Linked DNA regions of Saccharomyces cerevisiae S288C. The gene in region 1 interacts genetically with each later gene. Each region holds a gene or a part of one and is shown on either strand. Other genes may lie near its edges.

What was found.
Region 2: mutations in YCR090C (region 1) and MET5 together harm fitness more than expected from each alone (negative genetic interaction), as found in Saccharomyces cerevisiae (one large-scale study listed by BioGRID).
Region 3: mutations in YCR090C (region 1) and YHP1 together harm fitness more than expected from each alone (negative genetic interaction), as found in Saccharomyces cerevisiae (one large-scale study listed by BioGRID).
Region 4: mutations in YCR090C (region 1) and ECM23 together harm fitness more than expected from each alone (negative genetic interaction), as found in Saccharomyces cerevisiae (one large-scale study listed by BioGRID).

The regions. Positions count from the first base shown.
Region 1 is NC_001135.5:269,326-276,055, reverse strand, and holds YCR090C (uncharacterized protein), read left to right. Parts: upstream 1-3,192; coding exon 3,193-3,741; downstream 3,742-6,730. Other genes in the region: putative serine/threonine protein kinase KIN82, read right to left, coding at 1-1,652; FIG2 (Fig2p), read right to left, coding at 3,793-6,730.
Region 2 is NC_001142.9:676,610-687,262, reverse strand, and holds MET5 (sulfite reductase (NADPH) subunit beta), read left to right. Parts: upstream 1-3,977; coding exon 3,978-8,306; downstream 8,307-10,653. Other genes in the region: GTPase-activating protein IML1, read right to left, coding at 1-2,696; TTI2 (Tti2p), read left to right, coding at 8,557-9,822; protein transporter TIM8, read right to left, coding at 10,029-10,292; MCM22 (Mcm22p), read left to right, coding at 10,485-10,653. UniProt on the Saccharomyces cerevisiae protein: Catalyzes the reduction of sulfite to sulfide, one of several activities required for the biosynthesis of L-cysteine from sulfate.
Region 3 is NC_001136.10:1,359,156-1,366,591, reverse strand, and holds YHP1 (Yhp1p), read left to right. Parts: upstream 1-4,410; coding exon 4,411-5,472; downstream 5,473-7,436. Other genes in the region: GUK1 (guanylate kinase), read left to right, coding at 1-328; thioredoxin peroxidase TSA2, read left to right, coding at 930-1,520; PPN1 (endopolyphosphatase), read right to left, coding at 1,690-3,714; 40S ribosomal protein uS13 RPS18A, read right to left, coding at 5,794-6,187, 6,623-6,669.
Region 4 is NC_001148.4:509,504-516,173, forward strand, and holds ECM23 (Ecm23p), read left to right. Parts: upstream 1-1,597; coding exon 1,598-2,161; downstream 2,162-6,670. Other genes in the region: ssDNA endodeoxyribonuclease RAD1, read left to right, coding at 1-496; SUMO protease ULP1, read right to left, coding at 2,810-4,675; VTC3 (vacuolar transporter chaperone), read right to left, coding at 5,008-6,670. UniProt on the Saccharomyces cerevisiae protein: Involved in morphogenesis. May be involved in cell wall organization and biogenesis.

The DNA.
Region 1 (6,730 bases):
AATGTTTCATTTGAATTATCTCCTTTAAATGGAGTACAGCCAAATAGCATCTCGTAAATCAATATTCCTAAAGTCCACCAGTCTACTGCTGCAGTGTGGCCATTCCCTCTGATTACTTCTGGAGCTAAATACTCTTCAGTACCAACAAAGGAATTAGTTCTGAATCCATCTGAACAAATTTTTGTATCTAAATACGTAGAGTCTTTCATGGTGGGTTTTTTTGATCCCGTTGCTTGGATGGATAAATCAAAGTCAGAAAGCATGACATGACCAGATTGATGCAGTAATATGTTTTCGGGTTTCAAATCTCTGTATATGAAGCCCAGTAGGTGTAAATATTCCAAAGCTGCTACTACTTCACTGGCGTAAAACTTCGCATCTTCTTCTGCAATGCATTTACTTTTTCTTGTTTGTAAGGCTCTAAAGAATTCCCCTCCCATGCAGTATTCCATACAGAGATACAAATAGTCTTTGGTTTGAAAGGAATGATACAGTGTCACAATAAATGGATGATCACTTGTCGCGAGAATTTCCTGTTCAGTGAGTACTCGTTTAATTTTCTTCCTCTTGATCATCTCATGTTTATTCAAAACTTTCAGGGCGAATATCTGGTTGGTATCGCGTTCCCTCACTAAATACACTTTACCTACGTCACCTTGGCCAAGTAGTCTAATTTTTTCGAAGGATTGAGGTTCGACAGTAATGTCTTGGAACTTGTTACCGAATGACTTGGTTCTTAAACGACGAGATCTCCTCGGTTCTACAATATCTCCCAAGCTTGGAGGTTGTTTCAAGGCAATGTAATCTTCCCGCATTAACCCATCCTTTGCCGTATTGAACGGTTCGGAAGCGGCCCTCCTTAAACGTGGTGTTATGTTCATAGGTATTTGATCCTTTCTGGTTTCGCTATTTTTCCTTGGGGAATCAATTGGTGAATTGGATAATGACAAGTTAGCCAGGGGGGAGGCACTGCCATTTTCGCTGATTTTTCTATGGAAATTTTGGAGCTCTTCATTTTCGTTAATATCATTCAAAGATCCATTACTCAGGTTTCTACTGTCCTTTGCTATATAACTTGGGGAGCTAGGAGTGTGGAAGGATGACGGGTCTGTGGGCATGTCAAAGGTAAATAACTCCGCGTCCGGAGAAGAGCTACCTGAGATCTCATTAGGTGTGGAGCATATCGCCTCATTGGGTATAAGTGTGCTACTTGTAGTACTATGGACATTTGGCTCACCGATAATGGAACTTTGTAACAGCTCTGTATGTATCGTCGACCGGGGTTCACGCTTATGCGTACCTTTTTCTGAAGTTGACGCATCTGTAGTACCACTGCTCTTTGATCTGTTATGATTAAACATTGATTTGAACTTGTTAAGTTTGGAGCTTGACCAGCTATCGTTGCATTCTACATGCAGGGGAAACGGTATGGGAAGATCTTGCTTGTTTCCATTACAAGCCATATTAATTTGTGAGCTTGGGCTTGCGGACAACGAACAAGAATTGACGTTCAAACAATTGACATTGATGTTTTTGCCAGGAGGTGCATTGTTTTGCAGAGATCTCAAATTACGAGCAAATATTTTGGGTAGCGACATGCTCCTCCCCTTGGATAAGCGTTGTGAGGGGGAACGGTATTCTTGCTGAGTCATGTGTACCAACACTGTTGAACCTTGTTTGCAGTAATCCTTAGGGCACTCAATGAATTCTTGTACGTTTCAAACATACTATAATTAAAGAAGAAGAACTTTCTCTAAAAAAACTGGGGTTATTATGTCTTATGTTACTCCTTGAACAATATAGCTGAAAGAGGGAAAAAGGAAAGTATATTTCCGAAAAAGGATGCCGAAGACGGCGCTATCATAATTATGTGTTTGAGAGGCAGTTCACGGTTACATTCTAGTTCTTCTAGCGTCTGTTGTAGTATGAAAAGTACTTTATTGAATGTCCTTGACATGTTTTCCCAGGATCCAACTTAATGCTCCTCGCACTCATGCATGGGTCGGCCACACTGGAGATAATGATATTTATCTTGATATTCTTTGAAGAGTTGAAGAGCCAGCAGGAGTTTTGGAAGGATGTGACATTCTTAGTGGTTTTGATTTTTTTTTTTCAGTTCTGGCTTGTTCTTTTGTTTCATTGATGACGAAGGATTCGTTGAAGTTGAATGCACACAAAAAAAGCTTGATAACTAGTAATATTTTCTTGGCAGTCACATATATGGAAGGTGAATTTAGAGTAGTTTCCTTATAGCCTAGCGGGCTATTACCTTGTAAATACCACACTATCAATCCTTAAATGTATTGCTAATTGGCTATTAACCTAGATGTTTAGCTATTTATTATCTGTTGTTCGCTTAGCTAGGTACTGCTTTTTATGTTGTATTTTATCGAGAAGTTTAGTGTCGCCAGTTATAAAAAAAAAATTTAAACGTAAAGAAAGGTTATCGACAAATTAACGCAATATTACATGCCCTTTTCACCGTATCATGGTATACACTGGTGCATTAGTAGTAGCATACCTTTGAAAATAAAATGAATAACACTGTGAAGACGTAATGGTGTGTTTAGGCTTCACCATGACCAATTGTAGTATAATTTGCAATTTTATCACTAGGATTGTCACTAGCACATTAAATATATATATTTATATTGGTCCTTATTTTTATGAATTTTTTTTAATCTTAGAATTACGGAGCGTTTATGGCTTCATTGACCAAATAAAATGATTGGGCTGAAAGTTTTGAAATATTTCCATGATTCACTGCGGATGCATCCTATTTACAACAGACAGAAGGAACTGACGTGTTTTTCGTGAATGAATTAGATATATATGTGAAATTATGTTTTTTGTTGTTTGAATTTTTGATTTCGAATTGGATTATTATTCTTTGTTTATCTCATCACTAATTACTTACTGCAAATGTACTTTGCCATAAAAAACTAAAAGATTGATCCTTTTATGCTCAAGCTTTGCTACTATAAGATAATTTAGATGATCTTGGCAGTAAATTTTTTTTTTTTTTTTTTTCAAATTTAGTTCTTCGTTGCCTACATTTTCTTAATTTTGTTTCCATTGCTTGTATCAAAAACTTATGAAATTACAAGCGTCAAGAAGCTGTTTATAAGAAGTAATGAAAAATTTTGAATAAAGACAACTTAACCAATAAAGAAAACCAGGTTGTGTACGATAATGCCGTTATTTTTGGTTCTGAAAGCAACATTATCAGAAAACGTGACCAAGGTTTCAATTGAGAATACAAACGAATCAAGGGCAGAATTTGCCTTCGATCTACAATGTACCAGTTGTAGAGAATTACACGATTCTAAAGTCATCATCAATACATTTGAAGAATATGCTATGCCGGCATCAAAAGGTACCGCATCTTTCTTGATGAAGTGTAAATTTTGTTCAAAAGAATTGTCAGTTAACCTGTGCGCTTTTGAGGATGAATATTTAACTGATCAGAGTGACGACAAATGGGCCAAGATAAAAGATGTGCGGAAGAAGCATGGTTTATCGAAGGTCAAAGAAGATTCTTTCATTCCTTTAAGCCTTGATTGCAGAGGTTGTGAATTAATCAAATTTTATCCCGACACCATAACGTTTGAAGTTTCTCTAAGTTCGGGGAAAGTAATGTCATGCCAACTAGAGGATAATGAATGGTATGATTATGATGACAACCTTGGGGAAGAAGTAACAATGACTGATTTCTCATCAAGCATTATTAAAGGTAAGTAAAAAGAGTGTCTGTTTATAGCATATATACGTACATATAATATATACGGGAAATTAAATGAAGTTGATCACCATTACCATTATCATAAAGAACTTACTACAGAGAAATTTTGACGCCGAACCAGCATACGTACTGACAATGGGTGTAGTAATCCAAGTTGAGGATGCAGCAGCAACAAAAGAAGTAGCAATCCCACTGGAGGAAAGTCGTTGCTCGACATAGGTCGTAGTTGTTGGCTTTGGTGCTGAAGTTATGGCCACTTTTGTTCTCGTTATTATCGTCGTTACTGATGGAATTACAGTTTGGCTGGAACTTGTTATGGTTATCAGTTCTCCATTAGTATCACTGGATGTATATGTAACTGGCTTCACTGTAGTAATTGATATAGTGGATTCAGTTGAATGCACTTCCACTGATGTTGTTGTTATGGCACTTGGGGTAATGACAGACGTCATCGTGACGTATTGAGAATTTAGCTCACTTGTAGCGGAAGCTTGGCATCCTTCTCCACTACATGCAGATATTGTAGCGCTTGATTTATACGTTTCGGATACTTTACACGAGTAACCATCACAGCTGCTAGATGTGGTTTTCTGGCACTCAGATCCAGTACATGTCATAGTATCAGTAACCGTAGATGGAGGAGTAGTGGCAGTTGAAGTCACATCGTCACAGTTGGATCCATTACAGATAGTGGATACCTCCTGTTGGCATTGTGAGTCTGTGCAAGTTAGTGTTGCGATGGAAGTAGTTGGTTGTAGAACAGAAACAGTGTCAACAGTTGGTGATATAGAAAGAGATGGCAACGATGCCAATGATGATGATGATGATGATGATGATGAAAACTGAGACATCAAAATAGACGACGAGACTGGCGATAACGACAATGATGATTTAGAGGACAATGGTAGAGAAGACGCTATGAAAGTGGAGGAAGATACTGCTGTTGCTGTTGGAAGTGTTGATGACGTAAAAGCGGGAGATGGTAAAGAAGTGGATAACAACGAAGTTGATGATGGCGAAGATGCTGATATAGAGCTAGATGATGGTAATAACGGGACAGAGGTGTGTGTTGACGTTAGTGTTGATGCAGTTGTTGTTGAGAATGATGATGATGATGATGTAGAAACAGAGGGGGAATATGCTAACGTTGAAGCAGGTGAGGATGATTGTGTTGGCACATCTTGCGTACATTCAGTACCTGAGCATACTCCTTTCGACAAATATCCAGATGAAGATTCTGATTCTGTTGAAGTGCTCAAAGAAATAGAAGTAGATGTTGCAGATGAAGCGGAAGTAATTCTAACTTTGGCTGTCGAGGAAGTTTGAGTAGTAGCACCTAAAGTCGATTTACTTGTTAATGGACACCAAGTCGTGTATACAGTCTTCAAACCACTTATGGTGGTGGTAGCAGTAGATAATGTATATTGAATAGAGGTCTGAGATAAAGATGAGGATGGTTTTGACGACGAAACAAACCTGTCAACACTGCGGGAAGATTGAGAAGAAGCAGCTACAGTAGATTTTTCTGCCAATGGACACCAAGTTGTGTACACAGTTTTGATTCCGTTGATTGTTGTAGTAGCTGTAGATAGTGAATATTGGGAAGGTGTAGAAGAAGAAGGTAAAGAGTACCCCGAAGAGAAGTTGTATGGAGAGGTAGTACTACTGGGCTTTTCATTTGTTGATATGACATTAGAAGAAGAGGACATTATTGTATTAGTTAAAACGGTATTTGACCATTGAGAGACAGATGTGGTGGAGCGTTTTTCTGAACTTGTGAATGCCAAAGGCAAACTTTGCGTACTGACAGAAAAGGTGGACATTTCTGAGGAGGCTTCTAAGGAACTTTTTTTGGTGGAGGCTAAAGAGGAACTTGACGTTGAAGAAGTTAAGTATGGAAAAGGAGTACTTCTCATTTGCACAGATGTAATAACAGTCGGTGTGCAAATCGAATTAGAACATACTTCGGTACTCATAGTTACGGTTTGATGGGATGACAATGTCACCTCTACTGCCTCCGTTTGTAGAGTTTGAGAAGAATGTCCATTAGAAGGCGTGCCTTTCGAAGTAACAACCTCGGTAATGACTGTTGGGACACATTTGGAATGGGAACATACCTCTGTACTAATAATTAGGGTTTTTCGGGAAACCACAGTAGTATTTATCATTTCAGTAGACAAAGCCGGGAAAAGTAAGCTTCCAGTAGTGGTAAAGTTTTGAGTACCGAGAGTGCTAATAGTTTCGGAAGCAGTAGAAACCTGGGATGTGGTTGAACTCTCGCTAGCAGTGGCCGTCGCAGAAGTAGCAGACACTTGAGTGCTAGTACTAGTAGCTTCGGAAGTAGCAGAAACTTGGGTATTAATAGTTACTTCAGAAGCAGCGGGATTTTTTGCACCTTCGGATACTGTAGAAGATAATACCGTAGAGCTAGAGGTTGATAAAAGGGGGATTGTAGAGCTTGTTGCAGTAACACTGGTAATAACCGTTGGAGTACACTCAGAATGAGAGCAGACTTCAGTGGTCAAAACTAATGTTTTATATGATATGGATGTCGTATAAGCAATACTTGATGCCGGGCACCACGTTGTGTATTCCGTAGCAGCACCGTTCACCGTTGTTGTGACAGTAGAAAGCACAAGCGTTTGCATTCCGCTGGTCTTTAATTGCGTAGTCGTCAATGAATAGTCTTTATTTGACGAAGTTTTGTGAATATTAGATATAACTGCGATGGTTTCGGTTGAATTTGAAGTAAAATCAGTGAGTGAGTTCACACTAGAGCTCACATGTTGGCTGGCTTCTGTTGGGTTAGATACACTAGTAGATGGATACTTGCTGGTCGATCCAAATGTAACGGTAGAGTTAGTAATGGTCGCCGTAGAGCCTTCTGAAGATGAAAAATTTGGATAAGAAGATAAGGAAGACGCAAGATTAACTTCACTGGTGCACAAATAAAAACTATCCGATGTGCCACTAAAATAGGTGGGCTCT
Region 2 (10,653 bases), on another chromosome or scaffold:
ATTGTGATTGGTAACTCTGCTGGGGTTGTAAAAGACCTCCATTTACTATATTTTCTGGCCACATATTTTGGCCATACATCTTTCCAACGTATAGGCAATAATTCGTTGGCAAATTCACTACTTACCGGAATGGAAGGACTTTTAATATCCACCCAAGTTTCACTTATACGATGTTTCAATTGCTGTGTGAGGCTATAAGTGTTCGAGTCATCATGTTTTGATTTTTGCCCTTCTGTAATGAAAGCAGCCTTGTCTGACATATTAGAAAGTTTAGAGGATGTTCTGGTATGTGATGAGCCTAAATATGAGGAGGGTGAACCACTCATGATTTCATTACTAGGTAGCCCAAAAATGGATAGGTTTTTCTTTATTATCAAATTTCCACGTTTACTGATAACGTTTTCATCTGCCAGGCCTTTTTGTTGTAATTTCAGGCCACTTATTTTACTTTCAGAAGATGGTAGTGGTGTATTTGAACCTAAAGGTGAGTTATCCACATCATCTCTGAGTAATGTTGACTTTATTTTTTTATTTTTACTTGTGTCTATGTTCGAAATAAATTTTGTAATTACTCTTTGAGTAAAATCTTTCAATGAGTTCCTTTTGCTTAGTCCTTTGAGCGAATCCAGCGCCAAAGATGTGTTTTGGTTATCAGCAGATCTCACAGAGACCAATGAGTCATTCATTTCGAGATTGTCATTGTTAGAAGTGGTGGGAGTGCTAATTTTATCATTTGTAGTATTACAATCATCATAAAAAGAGGCCTCTATTGTTTTTATTGATAGATCTGGTATTACGTTTGGTTTTTGAATATCCTTAATGGCTGGGAGAGCAACTTTTGGACCTCTCCATATGAATTTTGTGTTACCGTGTGTTGTTGTTGCTGTTGCCGGGATTTTCCTTGCCTTCACAACAACATCATTCTCGAAGACGGTATCAAACTTTGAATTTAATTTCTTAGATTGTTTCGTATTAGAGCCAGCGCATAAAATTTTCACCTCGAAGGCATTTTTGTCGTAATCATTCATAAACTCGGATAGTGATTTGACTTTCTTGTTCAGCTGTAAATATTCAACATCCACTTCCCGAATTAACTCATTTTCAGTAATCCCCATCATTTGTAAGTCATAAATTTTACATCTTGGAGTCCATTCTGAGTTACTCTTTTTGTCATGATCATTCCAAAAGAAAACACTTAACCAAAGCGGTACACAATGATGAAGCTTGTTCTCAAAGTCTCGGTACCTAAAAAGTGGAACTATGTGCAATGGAGCTTTTGAAAGACATATTAAATCCATCGTCATTTCAAGAGAGAGTAGTTTTTTTCCTGTTAGCCTTAATAAACTATAATCAACGTCAAATAATCCAGACCCTGGTGAAATAATCATGACGTGCGTTGTAGTGTGTCGAAGATCTAATTGCTTGAAAGGATCCGTTAAAATTGTCGTGGCAAAATTGACCAATTCGAGAAAATTCGACTTGATTACAGGTGAAAATCTTCCATTCGCTACACTGTAACCCTTATCCGTTTGCTTGTTTAATAAATCTTTTCTGATTTCCATAAATTCTTCTCTTAATGTTTCCATAATATCAACCCAATGGATAATACTGACTTGATCTACAACTATCCTAAAATAATCCTGTGAATTTTTCAAAGATTCGCCGGGTGTTAAGTCCTTGAATGATGTATCAGACAAGTCCATTGATATAGCGAAGGCTATAGTGATAGTATGGTGGGTGTCCACATCTTTCCATTTTTTGAAGATCTTCGGGAAAAATGAATTAACCATCTTTTGAAATAATTGTTCACCAGTTTCTTCGAAGTTCCACATTTCATCAGTTATTTGAATCAAAAAAATTAATCTGGCAGATTCGGACCGAAAAATTATCCTTGTTTGTTCGCCAATATATCCAGAAACAATCTTCTTACCATTTCGATAAATTCCCTTAATAGTACCTCTGATAGAGTCTAAGAATGCCAGTCTTTGATCCATAAACACACATGTATCTACCAGCTTAGATGATAGAACCCACATATCACCTCTATTTAGTAGGCAATCTTTGATATTAAACTCTACCACATCTGCCTGTAAGTCAAATTTGTTTGGTTTCAATTTTATCCATATCCTAGACCTAGAAGGCAAATCTAACAAAGTTTGCAGTTGACCCGAAAGTATTGAAACATTAGATGTTTTTGCCCTTCTTTTAGTCTCTCCGTCAAAATCTTTTGCAATAAAATAAATTTTCTTATCTCCGTTCGATGCAGATGGATTTTTGTGATATGTTTTCAATTCTACCAAATCACCAGGTTTTATATCCGGGAACTCAACTAGATTTAGCATCACTAAATTCTCGGAAAATCGGGACTCATGATAGCCTAATTCAGCTTGATACGCCTTTATTTTCAGTCCTGGAATATGATGGCGATGGACCCGTTCCCCATTGTCATAATTGTTGTCACCACCATTGTTGACGTTATCGTCATTTTCCTTATTTGAAATCAGCTTTCTGCCGGAAGCCCTTTGTTGAGAACCAAACTGCTCTTTCTTTTGTCTTAAATTTCTATTGGAACCTACTATCAAATTACCCGATGATAAGGATATGCTATTTGCGTGAGTAGTATTGCTAGTCCTTGGAGTTTGTGAATTGATGGAAGAAATTGGTCTTTGTTTCTTCCCATGCAATTTAGCGAACATCCTTAAAAAGTGTCCCTTGTCAGTGCTGAGTTATTTCCCTGCTTAAAAAGTAGTTACAGAAACAATTCGTTGTTCTGTCACTTACTATCTTTTAAACAATAATGATTAACATAGATAGTGATTCAAATAGTCACGTGATCTCTTTTAGAGAAAGGACTTAATCCGTACACAATGATTTAATTTTTCATTACCTTATAATGTGATAGTCATAATAGCAATGAAGGATTAGTAATTACCAATATAAGAGCTCTAGCACATTAGCTATGAATTTGTCAGCCGCACCAAACTAACATAAAGGTCTTACTATGTTAAAAGTTCTTGTCCTTGAATAGAAATAAATGAATGAATCTAGTACCCTTCCCCATTCACCTAAGTTGGCTAGCCATATTTTCGGAAAAAGAGTGGGAGGAACAAGATGCTAGATAAACAAATATTCATGTTATTAAGCTTAGAATTTTGGCTCTGTTTTGTTTATTTCCAGATTTCTATTTTCTGCTATTCATCCAAAATATATTTTCTCACAAAAGCTGTTAATTTGAAACTAATGTTAAACAAAACATCTCACTTCAAATTGAAGCCAAATTAGAACCTAAGTAACCAACACACGCACAACTTTCATCCCTTATCCCACTTCTTTGAAAACTTTTAGAAGCCATTGATGGTATTGTACATTTACCTATCTTAGCAGATTCCTTATTAGCCGCCGAAATGGGTAATAAGTATTATAATCACTAAATACGAAAAATTTATTCATACCAACCCGCAACATGAACTACAAACCTTTGGGTATATAATGACAAAGACGTATCAAACCAACACATAAGGCTATTTTCAGGCAACTAATATGCTGTTTTATCTGCGGAATTTCACCAACTGACTTTTACTAAGCACTCAATAAAGATGCAGGTAAAATACGTGGATTTATGAATCCGGGTAATATAATTTGTCCACGTGATATTTCACAGAATGAATTTCATCACGTGCGTATTATCTCTTAACTCATAATGCCACAATTACCACCACACAGAGGCAGGAATGGTTTAACTGCTAAGAGACACTGGAAAATTTGAGTCATGGAGATGCGACGAATTACTGGCCGCTGCAAGCAGTTATATAAAGTGTTGGAAGACGATAGTTTTTAATGTGAAATAAAATTGGGATATAGAAAGGTTCCTTTGCTTGTTATTTTTTTTCCATCGTCTTGATATTTATTCAGATCCCTTATATACTAATAAAGTAACAGTAGGGAACGGGAACCAGAGAAAAACAAAAGATTGGCGAATGACTGCTTCTGACCTCTTGACGCTCCCACAATTGTTGGCGCAATATTCCTCTAGTGCTCCCCAAAATAAAGTGTTCTACACTACTAGCACAAAAAATAGTCATTCATCCTTCAAAGGGCTAGAATCTGTTGCCACAGATGCTACTCATCTATTGAACAATCAAGATCCATTGAATACCATCAAAGATCAACTCTCTAAGGACATTTTAACTACCGTTTTTACAGATGAAACTACTTTGGTCAAATCCATCCACCATCTATATTCTCTTCCTAATAAACTTCCATTGGTGATTACAGTGGATTTGAATTTGCAAGATTATTCCGCAATTCCTGCGTTAAAGGATCTTTCTTTCCCCATCTTAATATCTTCTGATTTGCAAACTGCAATTTCAAACGCGGACTCTTCTTATAAGATTGCTACAAGTTCTCTGACCCCAGTTTTCCATTTTCTTAACTTGGAGAAAATTGGCACGAGTACAGCTATTGAACAAGACATCGACTTTCCTACCTTGGAGATTGCTAACGAAGAGACTAAAGTAGCATTATCAGAAGCTACTGATTCATTGACAAATTTTGAACTGGTTAAAGGTAAAGAGTCAATTACCACTGTCATTGTTAACCTGTCACCATATGACGCGGAATTCAGTAGCGTATTGCCTTCAAACGTAGGATTGATCAAGATTAGAGTATACAGACCATGGAATTTTTCCAAGTTCTTGGAAATACTGCCATCTTCTGTTACCAAAATCGCCGTTTTACAGGGTGTCTCTAAGAAATCGCAATCAAACGAATTTCAACCATTTCTTTTGGACTTCTTTGGCAATTTTAATGAATTAGTTTCTAGGAACATCGAGCAGGTAGTGTTGACTAATATTGGTAATGTGAATGATTATGGCAACGTTATCAACACCGTCATATCGAATATTAACAAGAAGGAACCAGATAATAACTTATTTTTAGGTGAATCCAATGAAAAGGCTGAGGAACAAGCTGAAGTTACTCAACTTATTTCTTCTGTCAAAAAAGTTGTGAACTTAGAAGACGCCTATATCAAAGTGCTAAAACAGTTATTTTCATCAAATCTACAAATTTTGAATCAATTTTCCAGTGAGACAATTGAACCAAGTAATCCAGAATTTGGTTTTGGACGCTTTTTAAAACAAGAAGCCCAGCGTGAAGAATTGATCAGCTTAGCAAAAACCTCTCTTGATCCAAGTCTTTACTTGTCCGAGGATGCAAATAAAATTGTTCAACTATTATCTAAATGGTTGTCATTCAATGGACGCGATCTTGACGAAGCTCAATTACAAGAGGCCAATGCGACAGGTTTGGAAATATTTCAGTTATTACAATCTAATCAAGATTCCTCTACTGTCTTAAAATTCTTAAAGATAGCTCCAACAAGCGATTCTTTTATTTTCAAATCAAGCTGGCTAATTGGCTCCGATGCCTGGTCTTATGATTTGGGTCACTCAGGTATTCAACAGGTTTTATCCTCCCGTAAAAACATTAATGTTTTATTGATTGATTCAGAGCCATATGACCATAGAAAGCAAAACCAGGATAGAAAGAAAGATGTTGGTTTGTACGCCATGAATTATTACAGTGCCTATGTTGCCTCTGTAGCAGTATATGCTTCTTACACCCAACTATTGACTGCAATAATAGAGGCATCTAAATACAATGGTCCTTCTATTGTCTTGGCTTATTTGCCGTATAATTCCGAAAATGATACTCCATTAGAAGTCTTAAAGGAAACCAAAAACGCCGTTGAATCTGGTTACTGGCCATTGTATAGGTTTAATCCTGTTTATGACGATCCATCAACAGATAAGGAGGCATTTAGCTTGGATTCTTCGGTTATCAGAAAACAATTACAGGACTTCTTAGACCGTGAGAATAAGCTTACCCTATTAACCAGAAAAGATCCATCTTTGTCAAGAAATCTAAAGCAATCTGCTGGTGATGCGTTGACAAGGAAACAAGAAAAAAGAAGCAAGGCTGCCTTCGATCAGTTATTGGAGGGTTTGTCCGGCCCACCGCTACACGTCTATTATGCTTCTGACGGTGGTAATGCTGCAAACTTGGCAAAGAGACTAGCAGCAAGGGCATCTGCAAGAGGTTTAAAGGCTACTGTTCTGTCCATGGATGACATTATTTTGGAAGAATTACCTGGTGAAGAGAATGTAGTTTTCATTACTTCCACGGCTGGGCAAGGTGAATTCCCCCAAGACGGTAAGTCTTTCTGGGAAGCTCTGAAAAATGACACCGACTTGGATTTAGCTAGTTTGAATGTTGCTGTTTTTGGTCTCGGTGATTCTGAGTATTGGCCACGTAAAGAAGATAAACATTATTTTAACAAGCCTTCACAGGATTTATTTAAGCGCTTGGAATTATTGAGTGCCAAAGCCCTAATTCCCTTGGGACTGGGTGATGATCAAGATGCTGATGGTTTCCAAACTGCTTATTCTGAGTGGGAACCTAAATTATGGGAAGCTCTTGGTGTTTCCGGCGCTGCTGTTGATGATGAGCCAAAACCTGTTACAAACGAGGATATTAAGAGAGAATCTAATTTCTTGAGAGGTACTATCAGTGAGAACTTAAAGGATACTTCTTCAGGTGGTGTTACTCACGCTAATGAACAATTAATGAAATTTCACGGTATTTACACCCAAGACGATCGTGACATTAGAGAAATACGTAAGTCACAAGGCTTAGAGCCATACTATATGTTTATGGCAAGAGCTCGTTTACCAGGTGGTAAGACCACTCCACAACAATGGCTTGCTCTGGATCACTTATCTGATACTTCAGGCAATGGTACCCTGAAATTAACAACAAGGGCAACCTTCCAGATTCATGGTGTGCTAAAGAAGAACTTGAAACACACATTGAGAGGAATGAATGCAGTTCTTATGGATACATTAGCTGCTGCAGGTGACGTGAACAGAAATGTCATGGTTTCTGCTCTACCAACCAATGCCAAGGTTCACCAACAAATCGCTGATATGGGAAAATTGATTTCTGATCATTTCTTACCAAAGACTACGGCCTACCACGAAGTTTGGCTGGAGGGCCCAGAAGAACAGGACGATGATCCATCCTGGCCATCTATTTTTGAAAACAGAAAAGATGGTCCAAGAAAAAAGAAGACTCTAGTTAGCGGTAACGCTTTGGTCGATATTGAACCAATTTACGGTCCAACTTATCTGCCAAGAAAGTTTAAATTCAACATCGCCGTTCCTCCATATAACGATGTGGATGTATTATCTATCGATGTCGGTTTAGTTGCTATAGTTAACCCAGAAACTCAAATCGTGGAGGGTTATAATGTTTTTGTTGGTGGTGGTATGGGTACCACTCATAACAACAAGAAAACTTACCCAAGATTAGGGTCATGCTTAGGTTTTGTTAAAACTGAAGACATTATTCCACCACTTGAAGGTATCGTTATTGTCCAAAGAGATCACGGTGACCGTAAAGACCGTAAGCATGCTCGTTTAAAGTATACTGTAGATGATATGGGTGTCGAAGGCTTCAAGCAAAAAGTGGAGGAATACTGGGGTAAGAAATTCGAGCCTGAGAGACCATTTGAGTTTAAATCTAATATTGATTACTTTGGATGGATTAAAGATGAAACTGGGTTAAACCACTTTACCGCATTTATTGAAAATGGTAGGGTTGAAGATACACCAGATTTGCCTCAAAAGACAGGTATTAGAAAGGTTGCTGAATACATGCTTAAGACTAATTCTGGTCATTTCAGATTGACTGGTAATCAACATTTGGTTATCTCTAATATTACAGATGAACATGTTGCTGGAATAAAATCTATTTTAAAGACCTATAAATTGGATAACACCGATTTCAGCGGTTTGAGATTATCTTCATCTTCCTGTGTTGGTTTGCCAACATGTGGTTTAGCGTTTGCCGAATCTGAACGTTTCCTACCTGACATTATTACTCAGTTGGAAGATTGTTTAGAAGAGTATGGTTTACGCCATGATTCCATTATTATGAGAATGACTGGTTGCCCTAACGGTTGTTCTCGTCCATGGCTAGGTGAATTAGCTCTTGTTGGTAAAGCTCCACATACTTATAACTTGATGCTTGGTGGTGGTTACCTCGGCCAAAGGCTAAACAAATTGTATAAGGCCAATGTGAAGGATGAGGAAATTGTCGACTACATCAAACCATTGTTTAAAAGGTATGCTTTAGAAAGAGAAGAAGGGGAACACTTTGGTGATTTCTGTATAAGAGTAGGTATCATTAAACCAACCACCGAGGGTAAATACTTCCATGAAGATGTGTCTGAAGATGCCTATTAATGATAGCATATGACATAGTAGGACATACTATTGGGTTTTCTTCCCACATTTATTTATTTTTTTCGCAATTGAATATAACTTTTTATTTTATAGAAACATATTTATTTGTATAATCTTGTATATTAACAGTTAAGACTCATTATTGTTATCCTTCGGCTAGTTCGGTTTTTCAATAGCAGATGAGAAACGAAAACTATGAAGAATGAAAACGAGGTGAAGAATAAAATCATATAACAAAATATTGAAAAGAATGACGGCCGTAACTGATATCATCGATGAATTGAATGATTCGAGTCTTTCTTCTACAAGGCTTCGAGAGTTGTGTCTCCAGTTACGAAAGAAGACAGATACTGGATGTGCAATTACGGTGTCCGATGAGGTCAACCTTATTGAATCTCTCTCATATCACTCCATATCTCCAGGAGTAGACATACAAATCAACACAGATGTTTTGCAGACTATAGATTACTACTTTCAGCGTAACAAAAGTGAACATGACGAAATTATGTGCGTCCTTATTTCTAAGTTACAGCCACTACTTTTAAAACGCAAAAGCAACTTCGAACTCAAAGAGCAACGTAATCTTGGTCTCAAACCCACGCTTGGAATGTCTTTGAAAGAAGATAACCTAATGCAGGCGTGGGTAAGTCAGGGTGGCTTGAAAGGCATTCCGTTATTCTACGTAATTCTGTTACATTTGAAAAGGAGAGACATATCTACGAATCTTTCTTGGATTATTCCAGGAATTCTAAACATACTAGATGATACCACTGATATAAGAAGAATTAAACTTCGTGGTGTTCTGCTCCTACAGACGCTATTAAATCATACCTTTATGAACGAAACCAATGACTCAAAATGGATACAGTTCTCTAGTACTGGTTTATTTCCACTGTTCGAAAAGACGCTAATCAATATGTGCTATTTTCTCCCTCCCTCATACAATGCTGATGAAACAATAGCCATATGGCGGGTCGTTTTCCCAACGATACAGTCGTTATATAAAGTAGAATTTTTGGACAATTACACAAAGTATCAATATCACCTGGAAAAGTTCATGTCAGAGATAATCTTGCAAAACATAATTCCTAGGGCTAGCCTTGCATACGAAAATTTGACGTTATACGCATTGGAATGCACAATGAACATACTGAGACTTCAAAGAGAAGGGTCTGTTGTACATCTCCAGAGGCTGATTTTTGTTTTAGGTGAATATATTGTACGAAATCCTTTTTACACAACTTTTCCAAAACTTATTTCAAAAACTCTTTCAGTGGTAAGTACTCTCATAAAGGTTTGCCCGAATGAAAGAATAGTGGCTCACAGATTCGACATTTTATCATTAATTCTAGTTACATACGATAAGTGTTCGCAAGAGGATGCGTTGAACGAATCAATACTACAACAATGTAAGGAAACGATAAGCTGGTTGCTGAATTGTGACTGCGCTATGGGTGAACAGTTATCGACTCTATCTAAGCAACCGCGGTTTCAGTTACTTTTTGAGTTCTCATAGGAAACAGACACAGACACAGACAAATGCATATACATATATATATATATATAACTAGACAGTATATAAACAAAAAGAGTTATTTGCCCTTTATGCTGAAGAATCCCTTTTAAAGAAACCTTGGACATATATTAAAATATTCATTTGCTTATTTACAGATATATTAAGGTAAAGAGAATAATGACTCGGAGAGATAAATCGGTTTCATATTAACGGGTGTTTTGCAACCCGTTCACAATCCTGATATTAGTATCCAAAAACCGATTCACACAGTTAGACAAACATTGCTCTTCTTGCGAACTTAAATTAGAATCATTGACAGACTCAACACATTTTTTGAAGCATATATTAGTGAATTGATGGATTGACATCTGGACTTTTTGTTTGGAGTTCTCTCCCTCCAAGAAAGTAGCAATTTCCTTTTTGGAAGTGTCATCAAGGGAGGCCAAATCAGACGTTGATAGAGAAGACATTCTTTGTTGTTTGTAAATTTGTTTTCCTTTTTACCTCTTCTTCAATACTTTCATATAAATGAATGTTTCCATCAATTTTTACGTTAGTTAATAACTAACCGTTCGCTTTGATATGCAGCGTAACAACAAACAAGACGCATATGACGACAAAGAGGGACAAGAGCAAACGGCAGAAAGTCTCACAAAGGAAACATGGATGTTGAAAAGGATGTCCTGGATGTCTACATAAAGAACCTGGAGAACCAGATCGGAAACAAACGATATTTCTTGAAGCAAGCTCAAGGTGCCATCGATGAGATCACGAAGAGATCTCTGGATACAGAGGGTAAACCGGTCAATTCTGAGGTCTTTACAGAGTTAT
Region 3 (7,436 bases), on another chromosome or scaffold:
TGGTAGTACTGTCGCTTCCGTCAAACAAGTCAGTAAATCTGGTAAGACTTGTATTTTAGATATTGATATGCAGGGTGTCAAATCTGTCAAGGCTATCCCAGAGTTAAATGCCAGGTTTTTGTTTATTGCTCCACCATCGGTCGAGGATTTGAAAAAAAGATTAGAAGGTAGAGGTACGGAGACCGAAGAATCCATCAACAAGAGGTTAAGCGCCGCTCAAGCTGAATTGGCATATGCTGAGACAGGTGCCCATGACAAAGTTATTGTCAATGATGATTTGGACAAGGCCTACAAGGAATTGAAGGATTTTATCTTTGCAGAAAAATGATGTAGCCCTATATAGACATTACTAAGTATGTACCTGGTAGGAGAGTGCTGTCGCAAAGCGACAAAACGTCCAATTATTCAATTAATATAGTGTAAAAGTTCTCAACGGGCTTATGCTAGTTTTTTTTGTTAGTAAGCGCTACGACGACTAGAACCATCTCTTGAATTTCCAAGTGCCAAAATCAATGACCACGGATACTGTGGCCAGGAATCTGTTGGTTGGTCATCCTCAAGATCTAGACAATATCATATTGGGCCAGTATCTGATTATCTTAACTATATGCGCCCCTCTAGTTTACAAGTTTTAGTCATTGGGGGTTGGAAGGGCTGATCCCCCCTTACAATTGGCGTCGTTTAGGAGCGGGCGAGGCTCTCCTTTCTCTTACACATCTGCTAAGGTGTTTGTTACCCGAGTAATCAAGGATCAACTATGGATGAGATTTAGATTAACGTATTTAGAGCAGACGATTGTAAGAATATATTTTGTAATTTCGATTGTTTTTTGCTACTTACATTGTTTATCTTGAAATATCCAAAGTGAACACTATTACTGTTTTTTGCTCAAGAATATATTAGCCTTACAAGAACGTAAAAAACCAATCATGGTAGCAGAAGTTCAAAAACAAGCCCCACCATTTAAGAAAACCGCCGTAGTCGACGGTATCTTCGAGGAAATTTCACTGGAAAAGTATAAAGGTAAGTACGTTGTTCTAGCTTTTGTCCCATTGGCTTTTTCATTTGTCTGTCCAACTGAGATTGTTGCGTTTTCCGATGCCGCCAAGAAATTCGAAGATCAGGGCGCCCAAGTTTTATTTGCCTCCACCGACTCTGAATATTCCTTACTGGCATGGACCAACCTTCCCAGAAAAGACGGTGGATTAGGTCCAGTTAAAGTTCCTTTGCTTGCTGATAAGAATCATTCCTTATCCAGAGACTATGGCGTTTTGATTGAAAAAGAAGGTATAGCTTTAAGAGGTTTGTTCATAATCGACCCGAAGGGAATCATTAGACATATCACTATCAATGATTTATCTGTTGGCAGAAACGTCAATGAAGCTTTGAGATTAGTCGAAGGTTTCCAGTGGACTGACAAAAATGGTACAGTTTTGCCATGCAACTGGACCCCAGGAGCCGCCACCATCAAACCTGACGTTAAAGATTCCAAGGAGTATTTCAAAAATGCCAATAATTAATCTTCGCACGATAACGCTAGGCCCTATTAAATAATTAAAAATACATCACCCTATATATGATAAGAAAGATGGTTTTGTATTATTATGAAATTGACTTGAAAGAATAGTGTAACAAAAGAAAAAGAAACTGTAATTGAAGAATGATATGCATTTCTATGTGTATATTAACTTAATCATCTTTATATCCAGAAGACGCAAATGACCATTCGACGTATTTTTCCCATGCAGGTTTGTTTTCGTATAATCTGCCTGCAAGATCCAAATAACTTCCTACTGTTAACGAATCCATTGAGTATGGTTTCTCGTCTGAGGTATATTCTATCTCATACCTGAAAATATCCTTAGATTCAACAAATGAATTATGTAATTCTTGATTGATTTTTTCCAAGTCGGCGTAGAATTGGACGAAACGCGTCGGAGTGAATAACTGCGGTACATATGCAGGGCCGAGTTCGTATTTGTCTGGCATCTCAATTGGCATAGTCTTGTCATTTTTCTTTTTCTTCTTGTTTTTCTTTTCGCCCATCTTCTCGCGGTTGATCCCAACCTCGATATTACTGCTGTCCATTTCATCTTCTAGCAAAGAGTCTTCCATAATCTTATTTAGTGACTCGAAAAATTCATCCCAGGGCTTATACTCCGAAACTGCAAAATTGGAGTCATTCACTATGTCGGTGATGTTATATTCCCAGATCCTAAAGGAAGGATTGAAAGTTGGAATGACTGAACCACCTATGTTCACAATGGAATAGCGTTCAATGAGCTCTTTTCTAGTGATTGGCTTTTTCTTTTTTTTGTCCTTCTTTTCTTTCTTTTTCTTCTCATTTTCAACATTTTTTTCATCCACTCTTTCCAGCTTATTCCACACTTTCCGATAGTATGTGTCGCGGACGGTGTTCATATATGCTTCTTTGTTAGATGGTTTCGCTCCCATTAAAAAAACTTCTTTTGCCGCCATAGCGTGATCCAGAATTCTATTCAATTCAGTTTCTTCGTCCTCTTCATTACTGTCTTCTCCTTGTTGAACACGAGTGGATTGCTCCATGGCTTTCAATAACGATTTTCTAGCTTTTTTACCATCCGTTGGGATGAAGTGGTCAATATTCATGTGACCGTATAATCCTCCAATGATTATATCCCTGTATTCGTGAGTCCATAGCGTGAACTTATCGTAGCACGACTGATCGAAATTTTTTGCGATTGGAGGTACATGTCCACTTAACCATACTTTCATTCCCCTACTCCTTAGTTCTTCTAATACATAACCGAACCAAAGTAAAAGTTGGTAACCTGGTTCTTTTTTTGAATTACAATTGTCAACTAACGGATTGGCCTTGAATAAGTACAGCGTGTTAATTGACAGGACAGCAAGCTTCCCTGGAATAACTTCAGTCAAAAATGAAGCACTCCTATCAAAAGTTCTTTGCTGCTGCTGCGGAACAAAATTTTTCCAAATCCTATAATATTCTCTAGTTTGTAGAGTTGGTCCTAGTGCAAACATGTTATGTGGAAAGACATCATTGTTTCCAAGACTTGGAATGACAGACACATCAAAATCTCTTGGATCTTCTTCATTGCCAGCACTAAATAATTCTGTCATTTTATCAGCAACGATATTGTTCATATCAAAAATTTGTGCTTCTGTTCTTGGATGTTTCCGGTCATTGTCATGTCTGATATTATCACCCGTCCAAATGACAAAATCAATCTTATCTCTAAGATTTTCTTTAATCCATCTCAGAGTTTCTTCCATTAAAATAACGGGAGAATCACATCCAGACATTGCCTTCCCAAACTTGGGTGCCACATCCTTTTTTTTGCTTGGTTTTCCTGTGTGACAAACTGCATCAATAGAGCTTCCTTCCACATAATAAGGGTCAGGATGAATATCGGTAATATGAAGGAACCGTCCATGTAATTTTCTCTCCTTCCCTGTCTTTACGTCTTTGATAATTACTGGCTCCCTAGGTGTCAGTCCTAGCCTTGTAAATTCTATGTCATTGAGCAATTGAAGTGACTCGTTGTCCCCCCTGTCATCTAAGAATTTGGAGAAAACGGAAACATATTGAAATTTAGCACCAATTATAAACACGAGGAAAAACAAAACACAGGTCGACAGGATGGCAATCAATGATTTCTTCTTCGGCCTACTCATGCTTACATTGCGCACTTCACTCTTACCCACTACAACCATCGAAAAGCAGCTAACTAGCTCTACCCCTACTCAATGAAAACAATAGCTGGAGACAAGGAGATCAAAAAAACTTTATAATTCTCCAACCCAACAACCAAAAAAAATATTGATCTGTTGATTTTAGCCTTCTTCTGACTTGTATTCTACCATAAAACCCTTTACACTCTCAAATGAATCTTGGTAATTAAAAGTGCAATATAACTTTAAAGGTGCTAAATTCTAATAACGACATATGTCCTCAATAGTCGGGTAATGGTCATATTTGTCCTCTACCGTACGAAGGGAGCATATTATGCATCCTGCTCGAAACGCTCAGAGAAGGGCCGCACAGGTGGGCAGATCACATTTCCTCTTTCGGCTATAAACCACGTCCTAATTTGGACATGACGCGCGCCAAAAACCCGGAATGGTAAACATCAGACGCGCTTTCCGTGCAGGGATACGTCGGTATTTTTAATATCAATGCTGAATTGGGTTAATAGCATGAGACATTTCAGCCAGATTTTTCGTTTACTCATTGTTTATTTGTTTGATCTGGATCACACAGATGAATGTTTATAAATATATATATGGCGTCCTCCCGATCTTGCCAACGTAGATTATAATTCGTATTATCTTCTTCTTTACCCTCGCCAGCCAGTGTAACTAGCATTTGTAGGGAAATAACAATAACACAAAATATCGTATATATATAACATGGAAAGCAGAAATACCGTGCTTCCTTCTTTACCAAACATTATTACAGGTACTTCTAATTCGCCTTTCCAACTGCATACTTTGCCAAATACAAACTTCCCTAGTGATGACCAAGGTGACATCAGGTTGCCACCATTAGCTGCATCTGCGCACATTGTGAGACCAGTGGTAAATATTTATAAAAGTCCTTGCGATGAGGAAAGGCCAAAAAGGAAAAGTCCACAGGCTGTGGATTTCTTATCACAACGTGTAACCACTTCCATGACGCCTTTATCCAAGCCCAAGAAGCTGAGCTCTCATTCACCATTCACGCCAACGGTCAGAGTCTGTTCTAAAGAGCAGCCACCTCAGAGTATGCACTCTTATAAAAAAGTTAATATTCTTACTCCTCTATCTGCTGCAAAGGCTGTTCTCACACCAACCACAAGAAAAGAAAAGAAAAGGTCATTTGCCTTTATTACACACTCACAGGAAACTTTTCCAAAGAAGGAGCCTAAGATAGACAATGCTCGGTTAGCTCGTCGGAAAAGAAGAAGAACTTCATCATATGAGCTTGGGATATTGCAAACAGCATTTGACGAATGTCCCACGCCCAATAAGGCTAAAAGGATAGAGTTATCCGAGCAATGTAATATGTCCGAAAAATCGGTTCAAATATGGTTTCAGAACAAAAGGCAGGCTGCTAAAAAGCACAAGAACAGTGGCAACACCAGCCATTGCAAAGTTCACTCTAATGATTCGATGTCTATGATATCTTACTCAGACGCTGCGTTGGAAATTACCTCTACGCCAACGAGTACGAAGGAGGCTATTACTGCAGAGTTGCTGAAAACTTCACCTGCCAATACGTCCTCGATCTTCGAAGACCACCACATAACGCCTTGCAAGCCCGGCGGACAGCTCAAGTTCCACAGGAAATCTGTGCTTGTTAAGAGAACATTATCAAATACCGGTCATAGCGAGATTATCAAAAGTCCTAAAGGCAAGGAAAACCGCCTAAAGTTCAATGCATACGAAAGAAAACCCCTTGGGGAGGTCGATCTCAATTCTTTCAAAAACTAATCTTTCTCAGTGTTTATTTTCTTGAGCACTGATGCTATCAATATTAACAAAAACTACACAAAGTAATGACTGAGACTACACCAACGTTTTTTTTTAGATTTAAAGCGGCCTGTTTCATAAATCTATATAGAGATGTAATATTATATTCTTTCAAGGGTCCATTTATCCCTGAAACCCTGTACAAAAAAAAGGCAAGTTGAAATTATGGTCACAAAATTAATTTTCTTTTCTTTATTTATTTTAAAAAAAAGTCAATTAGGAAGTGCTATGGAAATATATGTACTCGTACAAAAAAGATTAAGCTTGAATAATCTTATCAGTTTAAGCTCTTCTTCTACCAGTGGTCTTGGTGTGTTGACCTCTAACACGCAAACCCCAGAAGTGTCTGATACCACGATGAGCTCTGATTTTCTTTAATCTTTCCAAGTCATCTCTCAATTTGGATTCGACGTTGTTAGCCAAAGTGTGGTAGTCCTTACCATCAGTGATGTCATTTTGACGGTTCAAGAACCAAGCTGGGATTTTGTAGTGAGTTGGGTTTTGCATAATTTGAACAATTCTTTCCAATTCTTCTTGGGTCAATTCACCAGCTCTCTTGTGTAAATCAACATCAGCCTTCTTACAGACCAAGTTGGAGTAACGACGACCAACACCCTTGATAGTGGTCAAAGCGTAAACGATCTTAATGTTACCGTCAACGTTAGTGTTCAACAAACTGCGTAAAAAAATTTAGACGGGAAACCGAACTTATTGATAAACGTTAGTAAAAAATGTGCATAATGGATTTCACGGCCAAGACAAAAATCGGAGCAGGATATAAAATTTTAGTGTTGGTTGGTCAATATCCGCCAATAGCTGATTCATTGTAAAGCATTCCCGGTACTTTACCTCCGACCGCTATTGCAATGTTCCGTAATTATGTGCGCTTATGCCAAATTCATGTTCCTTTTTGATGCATAAACCATAAATTTGTTCATCAGCCTTATTATTACGTTCTTAGTCCAGCCCGGGAACATCATTATTATATTTAATCACGTCGTTAGCGAATAATCGCCACGATTAAAGAGGTGAATGAATTTCCTTTCTTGTCTGTCATATTTTTAAGTTTTTAGCCGATTTTGTCATAGCTCACTAGTAATAATAAACATACCGTAAAATGTGTTGGAAGGAACCTTGTTCTTGGACAACTAAAGACATCTTTTATCCGCTCTTGTGTATACGTTCACTAGTATCTCAACGTTTAAAAACTCTACTAATAACATGTAGAGCTATCTTCAATTAACCCTAGCTTTGACAATACTTAGTGGTCGAATGACAGATGTGTCCGACCTGGCTGGGGCGACATTTGCTCTCCCGGGCATGATCTTGGGATGGGCATATGGGACTGGGAAAGGCATCTTTCGGAATCGCAGTTCCCCTGAGCGCGCGTCTCCGCAAGGAAACACCATATGCCGCTTCAAATTTCTAAAAGCAGCATGTAGAATATTTTCAGATAGCATGCATGGGTGCGTAATGTACGGATGTTTAATGTCTTTTTAATCATTGAAATTAAATGTACTTTTTTGTTGCCAGACACGAAACTGTACGCCAGTAAGTGATGTGGATGCTATTTTAAAAAAGTTTTGGATATAATGGCCTGCTGTTCCTAAAATATACTAGAATTAATAATATCGTTCTCAATTTATGCTCATGGGCCGTTTAAAAAAAATACTTTGTAAAAGTTAATTTAAGGTATTGACTGCACAAGTGACAAATTATAACCACATCTCTATTGAAACACTTGCCGTGATCAAGATTATATTATACATGTATGCTATTTAATTTTTTCAAGTCCTATTTTTACTTGTTTTCAGGTGCAAAACTGCTTTAGCGCAATACCGGTAAGAATAACGAAAAAAACTTGTAGTATCAGTACTTTATGCTGCGGGTGATAAAGTTCGATGCGTCAAAATATTACTATATCG
Region 4 (6,670 bases), on another chromosome or scaffold:
TCAGCTAAAACTAGCCAAATTAGTATTGCGGTTTCCCACTTTAAAGATTATATGGTCTTCCTCACCCCTGCAAACTGTAAATATAATCCTAGAGTTGAAATTAGGACGTGAGCAACCTGACCCTAGTAATGCAGTTATATTGGGAACGAATAAAGTTAGATCGGATTTTAATAGCACTGCAAAGGGCCTGAAGGATGGTGATAACGAGTCTAAATTCAAGAGACTGTTGAATGTTCCTGGAGTGTCAAAAATTGATTATTTCAATCTCCGCAAAAAGATCAAGAGCTTCAATAAGCTTCAAAAGCTTTCATGGAATGAGATTAATGAACTTATTAATGACGAAGATTTGACGGATAGAATATACTACTTCTTGAGAACAGAAAAAGAAGAACAAGAACAAGAGTCAACAGATGAAAATCTTGAATCTCCTGGTAAGACCACTGATGATAACGCTTTACATGATCATCATAATGATGTTCCTGAAGCACCTGTGTAAAATATTGTTTAATTTAACGAACCCTGTTAAAACATCAGTATAAAATGCGATTAACTATAGTGAAAATAACAATATTCATTTGGTGACTTCGACCGTATATGTTATAAGTTAGACATGCTCTTTGAATCTTTTACTTTGATATTTTATTCCGCATATATATTCTTTTTTTCGCGTTCATAGTTTATTCACTCAAATTTTTCATATCATCCGCAATTCATCTTCCACTTTTTAGCAGTAAAAATGACCAAATGAAGTTCATTTATTTTTGATTTTTTAACCGTATTTGGTGGAATCTGAGCGTGGCATTAGTGAATCATTTTAAGCCAAATTACCCGTGAGTTTTTCTTAGAAGCGCACAATCATATTCATTATTAATAAATGCTTCAAATTCATCCTCTTGAATAAGGTCCAGAAATAATTTTGTCTCTTTTCCATTACCTATGTGGGTAAAAATTTTCTTTTGCGACTAAGATTCAAGAGACCAAGTTTCTTTTCCACAACGATATATAATAAACCAAATGGTACAAAGTAGGAAACAACAAATAAGGAAAGCTTTTTCTTAAGTAGATTTGTATATTTATCCAAGAATGAACGATGTGTCTCGTAAACAGTAATTCCTTTTAAATTTTATATTTCTTCTATTTTCTGAACTTTTTTACTTAAGAAAAAATTTGGAAATCATTACCTGTAGGATGGCTTAGCTCTGATAATCAACCTACCAAAGTAGTTTGCAGTTATGTGCACTTTTCCCTTCATGTTAACATTATTCGGGCCGGTCTATTGTTAAATAATTAAGGGTCCATTTTAGGCACGGCGGATTCACAGAAAACCACGCAGTGCTCAACGTCATATACCACAAAATCCGTTTTCGTATTAAAAGTGAATGTGTCAGTAAAAGGCATTCTTTTTAGCGTTCATTATTTCCTTTAATATGATGTACCAATCTGTCCACTGCCTATGTAAACTTAAAAGGGAGGCATTTATGACTTGAGATTTGGTTAAATTACCAATATCTCAAGGGTAACAATATTTGCTATACTGGTCATCTAGAATAAAAATACTGCGTTGTAGTGCTGAGTGATAGAACTTTTAAATCATATTATGTTATATAACAAAGAGCAGGGAACAAGCGGCGCTAGTAGCTCTGGTCGTAGAACGAAATTCCACTTCGATCGTTTTGTACAAATGGTTCTGTTCATTGCCGCTAATCCCAATTATTGCTGTTCAGTAGCCAGTATCCCGAAATCTGGTGTCACGCCAGATTTAAAAAGAGCAGATATTCTTGAACAGAAGATCAAAAGCTTAAATAGTGCGCTGAGTCCAAAATTGAAGGAAGAAAGTCGTCTTGGTGGGCCTTTGCATAACCCCTCTATTCTACCAGCCCCATCTTTTTCATCACTACCAATATCATCCAATGGAAAGAAATCTTTAGCAGGATATAGACCTAAAAGTAGGAAGAAACAAACTATACTCCCCAACGGTCAACCAAAAGAGTGCGCCACTTGTGGTGACACCTGGACTTCTCAGTGGAGAAGTGGACCTAATGGAAATGTTGAGCTATGTAGTCGATGTGGCATAGCATATAGGAAAAAAATGGAGAAAAAAATACGATCGCAACAATCCTCCGATGATGGTACTAAAAATTTTATATTTAAAAATAAATAGTTAAGTAGTTTGTAAAGATGGTATATTCAGCGGATTCTTCCTCTATTTTTATGTTTTTTGAGATATTTCGAGCTTTCTATTTTTTTAAAATGCCTGAATTTCCATCTTCAAAAAAAACATAAAAAAGGTACTTTACCACCAAATAAATGATAACCACAATTTACTTTACTTATCCTCCACTATCAAGTATCTTCCTACCAGGAAAAATGAATTTCAAATGATTCGAAATTTACGGAGGCTCAATATAGAGATAGTGTGACGATGTTCATAAGGGCTTTACCGCTTAGCACGTATCTACAGTTTTCACTCAATAATATATTCTCTAGGAATGATTGCCAATAGATTGATATCCAAGAGAAGGTTCAATTAAGGAATTTCATTTCGTTCTAATCTTTTGTTGAAAATAAAAATTTTTACTTATATGTTAAAGCTTAAGATTCCACATAAGGTCGAAGACAATCGTCACTAATGTGTGGTTCTGCCTGCTCATCTCTAAAATATATTACTTTTTGTACAGACATCTAAATTGAGCTGGTGCTTATGCTATTCTTATGATTTATTTTCAAGTGGTTTATTGAACTTTATTCCATATCCAATGATCTGAATATTTCTACTTATGTATAATAATTGTATATTATAAAAGAATAACTATTTTAAAGCGTCGGTTAAAATCAAATGGGCAATAAATCTTCTCATCCTAATCGCATCTTTATAATCAAAATCCAATGGCGCATCTGCACTTCCATAGAGAGTATTCATACAAACATATATTCCACAGTCGTAGCCATTTGGTTGCTGCGGACAATCTAAATGAATCAAATCAAAGTCTTCTCCTATTGTATGCTTACTTTCCTCCATAACATATTTTTGCAAGTCAGTCAGTATAGCGAAACTCATAGCATTTGGACCATTCGATAATGAATCTACGTAACCTATAGTTTTCTTTTTTAAATCAATTATGCCCAACGCCCAGTGGGATTGGTTCAAATTTATTGGTGTAAAGATTTTATCAAGTTTATCAATTTGTGTCTTCTTTCTCTTCATCCACCTCCGGACGCCTTGATAACCCCTTTCTGATAAATTGGTATAGAAAAATGAATTAAACGCCACTGTATTAGGGGTAGATTTTTCAATGTATTTCATAAAAAACTCAATGATAGTGTCATTTAGCCATCTTCGTGGTGCCAAGGTCTTAAAATCACGTACTGTTATCTCTATATTATCTCTATTCATTAACTGAGTATTTTCTCTAGATGCCAAAGCTTTTTGTACTTGGTCATCGTCTTTTTCATTTAATTCAGGAACAAGTTTCTTCTTGGCCAATTGTTCTTTCTTTTTTTTAAGATCTTCTTGAATCTTCTTTCTTTCATTTAAAATTTCGTTATATCTTTTGAAGTCTTTCTCAAACTCTAATATAGATCTATCAAACTTCAACTTTTGATTTAAGTAATCCTTATGTTTCCTTTCCAAAGAAGATATCTTTTTTTCTTTAACAAATACTAAATCATCATCATTTTCATTTCTTGTCTGTAGTCTGTTCTTGTTGTTCTCAATTAAAATTGTTTTGATCTTTTCAGTTAAGTCGATTATAGACTTTTTTAAGCCAGTGTCTTTTTCCTTATCCATATCCATTAATTTTAACTGTCTTTCTCTTTCTTCTTTTAATATTTTTGGAACTTTATATTCTCCGTTGAATATTTGTCGTAAATATGTTACTTCCTCAGATTGTGCTCTCGACACCAGTTTAGTATTGTTAATGTTCTGTTTTGCAACTTTTTTCTTTCTAATAAAGGCTGTCCCATACTGTCGCCTGTCGTAGCTATTTTTCTGATCAGAAGTGTTATTTTCTGAGTTAGAACCAATAGCACTTGTTTTCCACTTATTCCAACCAAAAGGATCTCTCGAAAAAGTTATGCTATTGTCACTATCACAATTGCTTTTTTGAGAAGCCAAAGAGCTGATTGGTGAGGTTGAAGGTGTCCCCACACCTTCACTTTCGATTCTTCTCCTTTTATTTGGTAAGGCCCACGTCGACGTATCGAATTTGTGTTTTCTTGTATCCGAGGAATAATTTTCACGTAGACCATATGGTACGTCACTGCTCCTACTTCCAGAACTTCTGCTCTCAACGTCGCTGTTACCACTTGCTTCTACTTCAGAACCATCAAAATTGCGAGGTTCGTTTTTCACAAATGTGTGCCATAAGTACTTACCTGAGTTCCAAAGAGTTTCTCTTATGCCTCCTATAAAACCAGCTTTACTAGCTCTATCTGACCCATCTTTCATTGATTCTTCCATTGATAAAACACGGCGGTCGTTTAAATAATTGAATCTTGACGTATTGGTTCTTTTTTTATAAATACCACTAAAACTGGCTGATCTTCTAGACTCGGAGGGATTGTTCAATACCCGAGGATAACACCTATATGTAGAAATTGGGGAGAATAAAGGGGAGTAAGGGTTCTTTTTATGATACTGTAGTGTGTTCCGGTGCTTATCTACTTCAACTGACATTATTATGATATCCAAAGGTCAGAGGAAGAAGAGGAAAAAAACTGAAACAGAAGTAGATATTGATGAATAATTTTAATTAGCAATATAGATTTGCGGAGCTGAAACGAACGTTTCAGCTATTTTTTGATCTGGGTTTAACTATCACACACATCTTCTCATTATGTGCATTTTGAATTTTGAAAATAAAAAGAGGCGGCGCCGGCACCTGCTGAAAGCTGTTTAATATGATTTAATACGGAAGAGCAAATATGTATAAATAGAGAACAATTAATTAATTATGATAGTAACTGGTACTTGTGTAATATATGTGTATATAAAAAATATACATGTTCTTATTCCCCAACCAAATTGAAGATAAAATCTTGAATTGGTTTTAGTGTACGGGGTAACGAAGGCTGGGAGGAAACGTTTACTAATCCTCTTTCCCTCCTAGCGGCCTCTTTAAAAGCCACACTAAAGTTAACAACCAAGGTAACGATTAATACAACTGCAACCAAAATAGGTCCCACAGGTGCATCCAAATGCTTACCACTTCTACCTTTAATAAGAGTTAATCTTTTTAAGTAGGTTCTATAAGCCCATACTCCGCAAAACAAAGTCAAAAAGAAATATACATAGGCCAACAGATCAGCTAGTTGTGGAAATTCGGCTTTTTGCACTGAATTATAGATAGAAAAGGTCAATACACTCAGCAATGTGGTTACACTTAACCATCTATTGAATGTACGTTCATTGGCGAGCCAAACTTTTGCCTCAACTTTGACAGGACCGGCATTTTTCAAAAGGTGAACTGGTTTTTTAACTCCCGGAGGTAATTGGAAAGAAGAGGCACTGTCTGTATCGTCGGAGTATGGATCATTTCCATTTTCTGAAATATTTTTTCCAGCAAGAATTTTCAAGAAAGCTGCATTCGTTTTGAATTTCTTCCCTTTTTTGACTGCAGATTTCTTGGGCAATGCAGTACCTTCTTCATCTGATGATTCGTGATCTTCTAAATCTGCAATAACGTGGCGAGTATTCTGATCTTTTTGCCCTTGTCTTTCAGTGGTCTTTCCATCTGGTACAGAGATTTTGGATAACCTTCTCATATTATCAAGTTTATCATGAATGCTCTTTTGTTTTTGTAAAGTTTTCTTCTCTTCTTCGTAAGCCTCCTGAGGGTTCTTTCTGATGTCGGTTTCTAAATCGGGCAACCAGAATGGCAAAATGTTGACATATTTATCGTCTTCACCAAACAGTGAAGCCACACCTTGCAAGTACAAAGAAAATTTTGGAACTTCGTTAACTAAATGTGAATTAGTTAAATCTTTAATCCACTCATAATTAGGCATTTGAGAATTATCTTGGTTTATAACCTTAATCTCCATTACAGAATAGGGGAACTTCGAATATTCTCCTGCTCTTAAAAACCTCAATGGGTTGGGAATATTGGAATCAATATCGTCACGGTGCCAATTCTCAGGGTTCCTAATGGGCCTATTTTTGTCCAAAGAATCCTCTCTAATGTACATGATATTGGAATCGATAGTGACTCTAATACTTTGATCTCCAGGAATTTGGAAAGCAGTTCTATTATAGGTAGCTCTCAAAACTGGCTGCAACTTCTCCTCAACAATAAAGTTTTGGATGTTATCAAAGTCTCTAGAAAGTTTTTCCAGTTCCTCCTTTTGAGTACCCCTTTCTCTTAGTTGATTAATTAAATAGTTTTTGTAACTGGGATCATTTTTAAAAATAAAATTGTTGATGAATTTGGCTTTCATTTGCAATCTGATTTCTTCAAAACTTGAATTACCAGTTTCGGTATTTTCTGTAAAAGTTCTCTTTTCCAAAAATATGTCAGGTTTGTCTAGCAGTTTACCGATCCATCTTAATCTCAGCGTAGGTGCACCGCTGATTTTCAACAATCTGTTATTGTACAAATCAAAAAAATCGTTGTCGAAATATAATGTAGTGATTGTTGGATCATATGACTGTGGGAAAATAACGCTCTTTGAT